2 linked regions of the Canis lupus familiaris genome follow. The protein of the gene in region 2 interacts with the protein of the main gene of each other region in a pairwise test. Links are inferred from orthologs where the notes say so. Each region holds a gene or a part of one and is shown on either strand. Other genes may lie near its edges.

Evidence for each region.
Region 1: the proteins of AP2M1 (region 2) and TGOLN2 interact in a two-hybrid assay, tested with the Homo sapiens proteins (2 studies listed by BioGRID). The link is inferred for Canis lupus familiaris from reciprocal best matches to the Homo sapiens genes AP2M1 and TGOLN2.

Annotation. Positions count from the first base shown.
Region 1 is NC_049238.1:40,035,678-40,040,979, forward strand, and holds the start of TGOLN2 (trans-Golgi network integral membrane protein 2), read right to left. Parts: upstream 3,706-5,302; 5' UTR 3,565-3,705; coding exon 3,519-3,564; intron 3,299-3,518; coding exon 2,109-3,298; intron 558-2,108; coding exon 474-557; intron 1-473. UniProt on the Homo sapiens protein: May be involved in regulating membrane traffic to and from trans-Golgi network.
Region 2 is NC_049255.1:17,241,042-17,246,379, reverse strand, and holds the start of AP2M1 (AP-2 complex subunit mu), read right to left. Parts: upstream 3,546-5,338; 5' UTR 3,427-3,545; intron 1,384-3,426; 5' UTR 1,341-1,383; coding exon 1,267-1,340; intron 1-1,266.

The DNA.
Region 1 (5,302 bases), on a different chromosome or scaffold from region 2:
TTTGGCGTCACCTACAAACTTCCAAGAGATGTAGAAGCACAGATTTCACCCTATATGTAATGAATCAGATTTTGCTTTTTCATCACAATTCCCAGGGTGATTAACATGTCTCCTAAAATTTGTGAAGTGCTGGTTCAGTGCAAAAAGTATAGGATAGGTGTCTATGGAGTTGCCATCAGGTCTTGATTTTGGCACAAACTTTTAGGAGGAACTTTGGGGAAAATCATGTTTCTGGGCCTCAGTTTCCTCCTCTGTCAAGAGATGGAGCTGATGTAGAACACATGAAGGCTTCTTCTAGTTCTCATATTGCAGACATGCATACATATGGATGTCTCTGCTTTGTGGTCCACAAAGGGCAGGGCAATGGCAGTGGCACCCAGAATCAGCTGCCACCACCAGTGCAAATCAAGTGCACTGCTGGGCCTACCTGAGACTGCATATCCCTCCCACACACCTGGGGCTCCCTTCCTTACCTTCTGGTCCAAACGCTGGTAATCACTGGCTTTTGGCCGCCGAGTGACTTTAGATCTTTTTCCTTCTAGGACAAAAGCAATAATCTGGGGAAAGGAAAAAGAAATTAACAGATGATTCTACAATGGCTTATTTCAGTCTCTGAAATCAGAGGTCATCACCTGGTAGTACATTTTTTTTTTTTTTTTTTAGATTTTATTTATTTATTCATGAGAGGGAGGGGGTGGGTTGGGCGGAGAAGCAGGCAGAGGGAGAAGCAAGCTCCATGCAGGGAGCCCAACGTGTGACTCAATCCTGGTCTCCAGGATCACACCCTGGGCTGAAGACGGTGTTAAACTGCTGAGCCACCCGGGCTGCCCTGGTACTACATTTGTTAATGACCCCGGCAGTGAAAGAGCCGCAAACTCACAAGAGGCATCTTTAAATTATAACAGTTTTCAGGAGGACGGGGCCTCCAGTTACATCAGAATCTTTTATACTGCTAAACAGGAAATGACAGATGAAGGAAGACTATTCTGGCCGTTAGCCTGTGGGAGTCTGGATGATTTACTCAAGAGCACAAAGATCTGCCAGCTGTGCCCCACACAGCTCTAGGATCAGACATTCCTTTTCTCTCACAAGCAATAATTATTTCTTATCTGCAAATGTACTTTTCCTCCCCACACCTTGCTTCATTTTAACCTTACTGCTTTTACATCTAAGATTACTCTGTGGGACGAGCACTTGGATGTAGAATAAAGAACTATTTTTACTAAATATCTTCCCTCATTCCTCATAGCCATAGGCATACTGATATCATAAACTGAACTCTCCAATTTTAACCAGGCTATAGAAACTACTAAATTCTTAGAGCTAGCGGGATCCCTGGGTGGCTTAGCGGTTTAGTGCTGCCTTCACCCTGGGGCGTGATCCTGGAGTCCAGGGATGGAGCCTGCTTTTCCCTTTGCCTGTATCTCTGCCTCTCTGTGTGTGTCTCTCATGAATAAATAAAATCTTTAAAAAAATAAATTCTTAGAGCTCAATAAGAAATGCAATCATTTGTCATCAGAGTGGTTGCTAAGCAACACAGATATTACTCCACACCAAATCTGCTGTAACATTAAAAGACGATTGTATCCATGCAATTTTTGGTCATTCTTCTAATCGGAAACTCAACCGATTGTAGAAGATAGTCCCTGGGCTCTCTGCTGCTGATGTCAAAGACTATGTAACCACTCTTTCTGCCATTGCAGATGCAAGATAAAAGTGTGGGAAAGGAAACTAGAAATGATGCACTATCTTCAGAGTGGAAATAGGAAGATAAGTACTCTACTTACAAACTGTCAGGTACTCAGATTCTCGGAGGCAGTAAAATGATCTAAATTTAAGATTGTGGGAGAAGACCCCAATTCAGGTCAGATCATAAAAATGTCCTCATTTGGCACCTAACACAGCAGCAGAGGGCACTCAAAAGAATCGGACATGAAAGAAAATGATTTATAAAATGAGAGTAAAGAGACCTAGCAGAATCTGAGGAAAAACTGAAGTTTGACTTGAAATCTCCAGTGCTCACAGGCAGATGAATGACAGATATTGGCCCACACACCAAGCTTTCAAGGTGGAGGAAATCTCATTCCTCAAGACAGTTCTTGACTTACCTTCCGTTTATTGTGATAGGCAATATAGAGGACAGCAACAAGAATGGCTGCAGTCACCAGATAAGCAAAGAAGTGGCTGCTTTCTGCACTAGCACTTCCAAGACTGTCCTTATAAAGGTCATCATTCTGCCTACCCACAGAATCCAAAAGTGTCCCTTCACGGTTCTCACTGGAGGCAAGGCCAGGCATTTCTTTCTCTCCTTGGAGTGGTGAACCTTCTTCAGGCTCCGTATCCCCTTCCTCAGCCTTCTTGGGTTCCACATCTTCGGTAAGCTCTATAGACTTGCCTTCTCCCTCCTGCTGTGAAGTGGGGTCAGAGTCCAGTAATACTCTCTCCTCAGATTCATTTTTATAATCATTCAGAGTGGGATCTTTGTCGGCTGGTATGTTTAAGTGAGGCTTGGTGGGCTTCTTGTTATCAGAAGAGGGGTTAGAGACCAGCTTGTTGGAGTGGTCATTCAAGGACTGCATCTGGGACTTCACCTTGCTAGTGCCATCTCCTGTGGCCTGTGGCTTGGGCTTCTCATCGTCAGGGTCGTCTCCCATAGAGTGTGGCTTGGGCTTCTTGTCAGGGTTGTCTCCCATGGCCTGAGGCTTGGGGATCTTGTCAGAGTCATCTCTGGTGAGCTGTGGCTTGGGCTTGTCAGGGTCGTTTCCTGTGGCCTCAGGCTTGGGCTTCTTGTCAGGGTCCTCTCCTGTGGCTTCAGGTTTGGGCTTGTCAGGGTCGACTCCTGTGGCCTCAAGCTTGGGCTTCTTGTCAGGGTCCTCTCCTGTGGCTTCAGGCTTGGGCTTGTCAGGGTCGACTCCTGTGGCCTCAAGCTTGGGCTTCTTGTCAGGGTCCTCTCCTGTGGCTTCAGGCTTGGGCTTGTCAGGGTCGACTCCTGTGGCCTCAAGCTTGGGCTTCTTGTCAGGGTCCTCTCCTGTGGCTTCAGGCTTGGGCTTGTCAGGGTCGACTCCTGTGGCCTCAAGCTTGGGCTTCTTGTCAGGGTCCTCTCCTGTGGCTTCAGGCTTGGGCTTGTCAGGGTCGACTCCTGTGGCCTCAAGCTTGGGCTTCTTGTCAGGGTCCTCTCCTGTGGCTTCAGGCTTGGGCTTGTCAGGGTCGACTCCTGTGGCCTCAAGCTTGGGCTTCTTGCTAGGGCCGTTGTCTCCGGGCTGTGGCTGCAGCTCGCTAGGCTCTCCTGTTGGGGCCACTGAAATAGAGAAACCAGTTCGCTCTGAAGAGAGGAAATCCGGGAGAAGGGAGCCCTCAGAGCTAGAAGAGACCGAGGCAACAGGCAAACGGGGGAGGTGGGTGATGGCAAGCGGAGGGGTGGCTCCGGCAGGGAAGAAGCGGGTTCAGAGAGCGACCCGGCCGCGGTGAGGACGGTGGACCTAGGGATGATAGTAGGATTATTGGGGGTGGGGTCTTACCCGCCACTGCGAGGCTCAGCAGGGCCAACGCAATCAGGAACCGCATCCTGCACTTACTACTCTTCCGCTCTCTACTGCTCTCGCGACATCCGCGCGCGCACTCTGGGCGCTCATAGCCCCGCCCCTTCCTGCGCTCGTCCTTCCGCCGCACGCCCAGGCGAGGGGAGGGGCCTCGGCAAGGGCGGGAGAGGACGGTGGTTCTGCTCTCGCTGGGGCCGGCGCAGCGTCCCTCGGCGCAGGCAGCTTACACCTTCTTCCTTTCCCAGGTCCACCACGAGCGTCAGTCCCCTTTTCCTTCTTTGCCCTTGTATTTCCGAGACAATTTTGGCAGAGCCAGAGCTCCCTAGCCTGCGGATGGCCCCGTGGGGACTGCACTCGCTGGGACCCGGCGCCTGGGCTTCAGACTGCTCACCTTTCTAACCTCTCTTTTCTCATGGTTCTTTGCTCGTAGCACACAAACGTGTTGCGCTCAGGTCTCTCCCATCTGGAAACAGAAACTGATCCCGTCACCTTTGTAGCGGGAGCCTTCCCAGTCCAGTTCCTCTCTTTCCTGACCCCGCGGAAACTGCTCTCCGAGGTCTCCCCAAAGGTACATCTTTTTTCTGGTCATGAAAGTTCTTCACAGTCATTATAGAAGATTTAGTGAGCGTATTTATAGAAATAGAAGACAAAATCTTTGTCCCATTCTTCCGGGATAATCACTATTAAAGTTTTAGTGTGTTTTCTGCCTTGCAGACATTAAAAAAGAAAAAAGACTTTATTCGTTCACGAGAGACAGAGAGAGAGAGGGGGGCAGAGACATAGGTAGAGGGAGAAGCAGGCTCCTCACAGGTAGCGCGATGGGGACTCAATCCCTCAACCCAGGATCACGCCCTGAGCCCTGAGCTGAAGGCAGACGCTCAATTGCTGAGCCACCCAGGCGTCCCTGTCTTGCAAACATTTTAATATATTTGGTTTGGTACATTCTAATGGTTCAGTAAAAAAAAGCTATACATGAGAAAGTTCTTGCTCCCTACCATTCTACAGTTACCACTTAGTTTATTGTGTTTCTATGTAGTGTTTTATTTTCTAGTGTTTTTTTTTTTTTAACACTTACGTATGTACTTATTTTTTCCTCCGTCTTATATTGGTGTATTTTTTGTTCTTTTCTATACATATTCATTTTCCTCCAAATTTGTATCATTGGGTAAATAGTTTTGTATCATACTGTTTTTTTTTTTATTTTTTTAAAAGATTTTATTTATTTATTCATGAGAGACACAGAGAGCGAAAGAGAGAGAGAGAGAGAGGCTGAGACACAGGCAGAGGAAGAAGCAGGTCCATGCAGGGAGCCTGATATGGGACTTGATCCCGGGTCTCCAGGATCATGCCCTGGGCCAGAGGTGGTGCTAAACCGCTGAGCCACCAAGGGATCCCCATATCATACTGTTTAAAGTACTGTTATGTTTATACATTAATGGCTGCTTGAAATCGTTTTATAATCATTTGCCAGGTTAGGTGCTTAGTAGAGAGTAGTTTTAAAAATGATAGATCCTAACTTAAGAGTGTAGATATCTCCCAGGTGAAGTTGAAGAGAAGAGGATGAGTTCTCCCTTCAGCATGTGCGAAGGCCTGGAAGCAGGTGGGAGCCTAATATTTTGTGGAAGTCTAAAGATGAGAACAAGATTGCTAGATAACAGAGAATAAGGAAAATGGCAAAGGATGGGTCTGGAGCAAAGCCAGATTTAGGAGCAAATGATCTGGGAGTTGTCCAGAACATAAGTCTTTGTGTGACAGAAAACTAC
Region 2 (5,338 bases):
CCTGGGCGGCAGCTTGACAGGCTGCTTACCTATTGCTACGGCAGCCAATGAGATGGGATGAGAGAAATGACGCCAGCAAGAAGAGGAGAGTGACAGCAACGAGAGAGAGGATTAGACACACAACATCCTGGGGTAGGCTGCACACACCATGAAGTGGAAGCAGACGAGCAAGAGGCAAGGGGTGGAAAGCATAGCAAGTCATGCAAGACAGTAGGTGCCCTGGCTTAAGCAGGTCCATCCAGGGCAGGCAGGAGGGGGTGTGGATGGGTATAGCCAGCCAGGTTCAGGCAAGCCAGGCACTGCCACAACTCTAGTTCATGCCCTACCACCAGCCAATGGACAAACAGCCACAAAGGCCAGGCCAGCCCACTAGCCAGGGAGCTGGGAGCCAAGAAGCTATTGGGCTCTGCAGCAGGCCCATCCTATAACTCTTTAACCTAAGCTCTTGGAGGAAGAAAAACAGGGCAGCATGAACCAGAGATGCCTAATCTCATTAGAGCTGCTGAGGCTAGGACATGTCCTCTCATTCAGGAAAGAATAGTGGCATGCAGTGTGGGGCAGAGTGAGAAGGCAGGCTGTGTCTCTTTGCTAAGGTCTGAGGGACCTAGAACAAGGAGCTATTCCGGGTCTACTCTGGTAGGCCAGGAAGGGCAGCATGGCCTCCCTGCCCTTCCTTCAGTGACCCGGAGAGTGCCCCAAGCTTGCTCACAACCTCTCTTCTAGGAGTGGCCCAGAGGAACTGAAAACAGCTGAGTCAGCAGCCTGCCTCCTCCTGAGAAAGGGAGTAGGAGAGGATTTGGCAGCCTGGAGAAGCTTTCAAGAGAATTCAGTGAAGGCTCTCACCGTGAGAAGGGCTTTTGAGAGCAAGACTTAGATGGACTAGTACCACTAGCCTGTCCACTAACTTCACCCCCTGGAGAAAGATCTCCCTCCTCCTCAAGGGAGGAATTCATCTACCAGGGCAAAAGCACTCATTTCTAGCAACTAGGTCTGTCACTAAGGAAAGGAGAAGGCAGGAAGGACAAGAGTTCCTAAGACTGTGGGGGGCCACACCATTCCACAGGTCCCACCTATTGGCCAATAACTGGCTGCCAGGCCAATACCACCAGACCTAATGGGAACCAGATTGTATTAGCTGAGCTTCTAAGATGCAGCGAGGGATGGGGGTGGCCAAAGTCCAGTCTCTGGTAGGAACGGACCTGGTCCTGCATGCTGGGGAGGAGGGATGAGGGGTGGGGACACAGCTGGCTCAGCCAGGGGACTCACCCGATGTCATCTCGGTAGACCCGGGAGATGAGCACCTCCCCCTTGTGATTATAGATGAATAAGCCTCCAATCATGGCGGCAGCTCAGTCTCCAAGGCCCATCGCTCTGAGAACAGACCTAGGACAGGCGGAGGCAGGGTAAGGGAAGGCCTCAGAACCTCTGCCAACATCCCCTGTGGGGCTGTGCAGGTCACTGGCTGGGCTTTTTTTCCTGACTCAACCCTCCAGTAAGTGACCCTGAAGCCCTCCCCAGGCATGCCCCTCCCCTTAGCCAGGCTCCAGTTCCTGTTTATCTCACACTGGAAAGGAGAAAGAAATGGAGAGGGACTTGGGCCCAGGATTCTAAGGCCATTTTGACCCTCCCTTTCCTGGGGCTGAGCCCAGAGTGTAGCCCCCTCCCCCTCTTTTCAGTGCTGAGCTCAGCACAGATCCTTTTTGGCCCCTTCCTGTGCAGACTCTCACTCAGACTCTAGCCGGTGAGTCACTGGGAAGGCCTGCCTGCGGCTGCAGGAATGGCGGTAGGAATTATTCCACTTGGTTCAGGCCTGGGGCCCCCAGGCACGGCTTTAGGAGCACCCGGTCTCTCAGGCTCCACTAACCCTTCGGAGAAGACAGCAGGGCCTGAACCTGTGGCTCTCTAATTCACAGAAGTCTAAACATTCCAGGAAAGGGTGTGCAGGGTGTGGGGAGGAGACAAGGGAGGCCTTAGGCCCTGACACAGACCCTGGAGTGTGGCTCCAACCAATCCCAGGCAGTCAGATAAGCAGGCAAAAGAGCAGAGGAGAAAGGGCCCAGCCTTGGCCGACTACACTTCAATGACCCAAGCTGCTTATTAGTTATTTTTAACCACCTCCCTTTCAAAAAGGGAGGATCCCTCTCAGTTCCCAAGTGCAGTAAAAATAAGGGGGTGGGAGTACAGGTTTATAAAACACAAAGATCAATCCAGCTGACATTCTATGATTCCAGAACCATGACATAACTCATTTCTGGCCTGAGTACCTATAAGGAAGGGGCAGAGAATAGGTGTGCATTATCCAAATTATTTGGGTCAAAATATTTGCAAGGAGAAAAAGGGTTAATTTAATTCTAGATTTCCTGAATTAGCTCTGGTATTGATTTTACAGGGCAGAGGGAGTTTAGCAGACTTTTCTAAACTGGAAAATAAAGCCCTATTACTGAGGCCATCAGGGTCTCCCCAACTCAGTGAGAGGTCTCTCAAGGTGGTGGTGGACACATTCCACCCCAGAGTCCCAAAAAAGGCTGGGAAAGGAAATGAAAAATGGGAGGTAGAGCCCCGGGCAAAGAAGCAAGTTCACAGATATCAAGTGGTAGGGGCCGCAGGGCACCGAAGGAGCGGAGGTGGGGCCCAGGGCAGGAGGGGAATACTGAGCTAAGGGGAAGGACGGGCAGAAGGAGCCAGGCGGTCTAGTCAGGTGAACCTGCAGCAGCAAGAGGGCTGGGGCTGGGGGCTGGGGGGCGGGGGGGGGGACGGGGACATCTGGAGGAAGGAGTTTCCAGTGTGGCAAAGGTCAAGACTTTGAAACAGCAGGGAGGAGACTGACAAGTGGCGAATAGGGGAAAGCTGGGGCGGCGTTAACTTGCTTTAGGGTTCAAGTGTGGAGGCATGACGGGGGGTGGGCTCTTCGTCTAGGGGAGCAAGACATCGCGGGGATGAACATGGCTCCACGGGGCTGCGGGGGCTGTCACAGGTCTGAGGAAGAAGAGCCGAGGGGTGTCACTCAACTGGGGGGAGGGGGTGCGGCTGGTGGGAGGCCTGTCACAGCCCAGGGAGACGGCCCGAGGGGGTGTCACCGTCGAGGAGATGGGGGAATTGTCCTTGCGCTGGGAGGAGGCGGCGCCAAGGCACCAGGGGGGCTGTCACGATCCCGAGGAAGGGGGCGCCGCGCGGCATCCTGGCTCCGGGGGGACCCCAGGAGGTCTCCCTGTCACGGAAGGCGCCGGACTGCCGGTGGAGGGCGCCGCTCCCTGCCCACCCTGCAACCGCGCCCCGGGCGCCCCCGCCCCGCCGTCAGCTCCAGATCAGAAGGCTGAGGCCCCTCCCGGCTGTGGGCAGCTTTTCGCGCAGCGCAGTGCAGGGAAGGGCAAAGCTGGGTAGCGGGGTACGCGTTCTCCCTTACTCTCCGCCGGATTCCGAGCTTACCTGGCGTCCGCGGCCGCCTGCTCGGCCCGCCCGGCCACTCTCCAGATCCCAAGATGTCCGCCCGCCCCCTGCTCGCCAGCCCGCTGCCTCGGCTTTCACCGCAGTGCCGTGGCCCCGCCCCGAACACAGTTGCGCGTGCGCGTCCGGCGACCGAGCCGACTACAAATCCCGTCAGGCCCTTCGGCCTTCTAGCTTACAATTTTAGCCTTTCTAGGTTTAGGAAGACTACAACTACCGACTGCCTTCAGCGGGTTAGGCGTGCCTTGGGGAGGGATAGGCGTGGCCACATCCCATCATACTCCGCTCCACTCGCTTCATTTTCCCTACCGAGCATTCTGGGAATTGTAGTCTGCAATCCATCCTGTTCAGCGTCTAGGAGAGCTTCGGAGGATTAATGCCATTTGTTGAAGCCCATCTGTTAAGCTTGAGATTGCTGTAGGCCTTTTCCGTCTCTGGAGTCCGAACACTGGCTGTGCTCACTTTACACACACACACACACGACTTGGCAGAAGTGTTTGCACTAAATTTACTGCTTTCTAACACCAGCTCTGATTTTCCCAAGACTTTTCATCAAATATTTGTTCCAGATGTGAGCCTCTTCCCAGGGATCAAGACCCAAGTAAAAGGGCAAAGATGGAGGAGGCAAATACTTGTAAGAAACTAGCCAAAGCTTTTCAAGAATGTCTGTTCTATCCCAACTACACATACCTATGTGACCCCTTGAGGCCAGGACCTGTGTGCCTTCTAGTGATGGCATATATGTTGCTTAAAAAACTGCTGGCAAGTTTAGCTGGACATGGAACTTGAAATCCCTTCTCTAATGAACAGAGTTAATCTTCACACCCAAGCTGAGAAGAAAAGACAGAGCAAACCCTCAGATATGAAAGCCCTGCTTGACTTTTACAGGACCCGAAGAAAATGTTAGCTCTTCTCTTTCTGTACGGAGAGCTTCCCTTATGCCTTCACTGGTGCTGAGCCCATCATGGGAGGAAGGGCAAAAAAGGGCAAACCTGGTTACAAACCCTACTGTCCCAGCATCCTCCTGCTAGAAGCCAGAATGTGGCAGGATGAAGATCTGGCCTTCCTCAAACAGTGGTCACCATGTGAATCCATTAAGTGACTGAATACAGGCATTTCTAAATCTTGAACCGGCACTCAGATCTTCACTGCTACCTTTCCAAAAGCTTTATCTTCAATCAATAATACCCTACCAATTTAGAATAAATAATAATAGTAGTAGTAGTAATAATAATAGCTACCATTTATTGAGCACCTATTCTACTCTGTGCCAGGCACTGTGCTAGGCACTTTTCGTACAAGTCTAATTTAAATCCTCACAACAACCCTGTGAGGTAGGTATTATTATCATCATTTTACATATGAGGGAATTGAGGCTCAGAGAGATTAAGTAACTCTCTTATCACGAAACCAAAAAGTAGTAGAGCTGGGATTCAAGCCCAGAACAACCTGACTCCAAATCCCGTGCTCCTATGAATTAGGGTAGAGGCGGGGGGAGAAGAAGGACCATATTCAAGAAAGACTGTTGAAGTGGAATGGATATGATATGCTGACTAGTAAGAGTTGGGGAAGAATTTAAGTCCATAAATGTTCCTAGCTGGTATGCCTATGTAGACTGTGCTAAAGATCATCAGAGTTGGAATTAAGGAGGAACACACTTGATGGGGGAAATGAGTTGAGTCCATATAGATATGTCCATGGTGACGTCCAGTGGATAACACAGATCTAAAATTTGGAGAGAAGTTGTGGCTGGAGATAGGCATTTTAGAATCACCAGTGTATCAGTGGCAATTGAGGACATCAGGATAGATGACACCATTTGGGTAGTAAACTTAGAGGAAAGAGAAGTGAACCAAAGATGGAACACTGGGAGCACCAACATAGAAGGCATGAG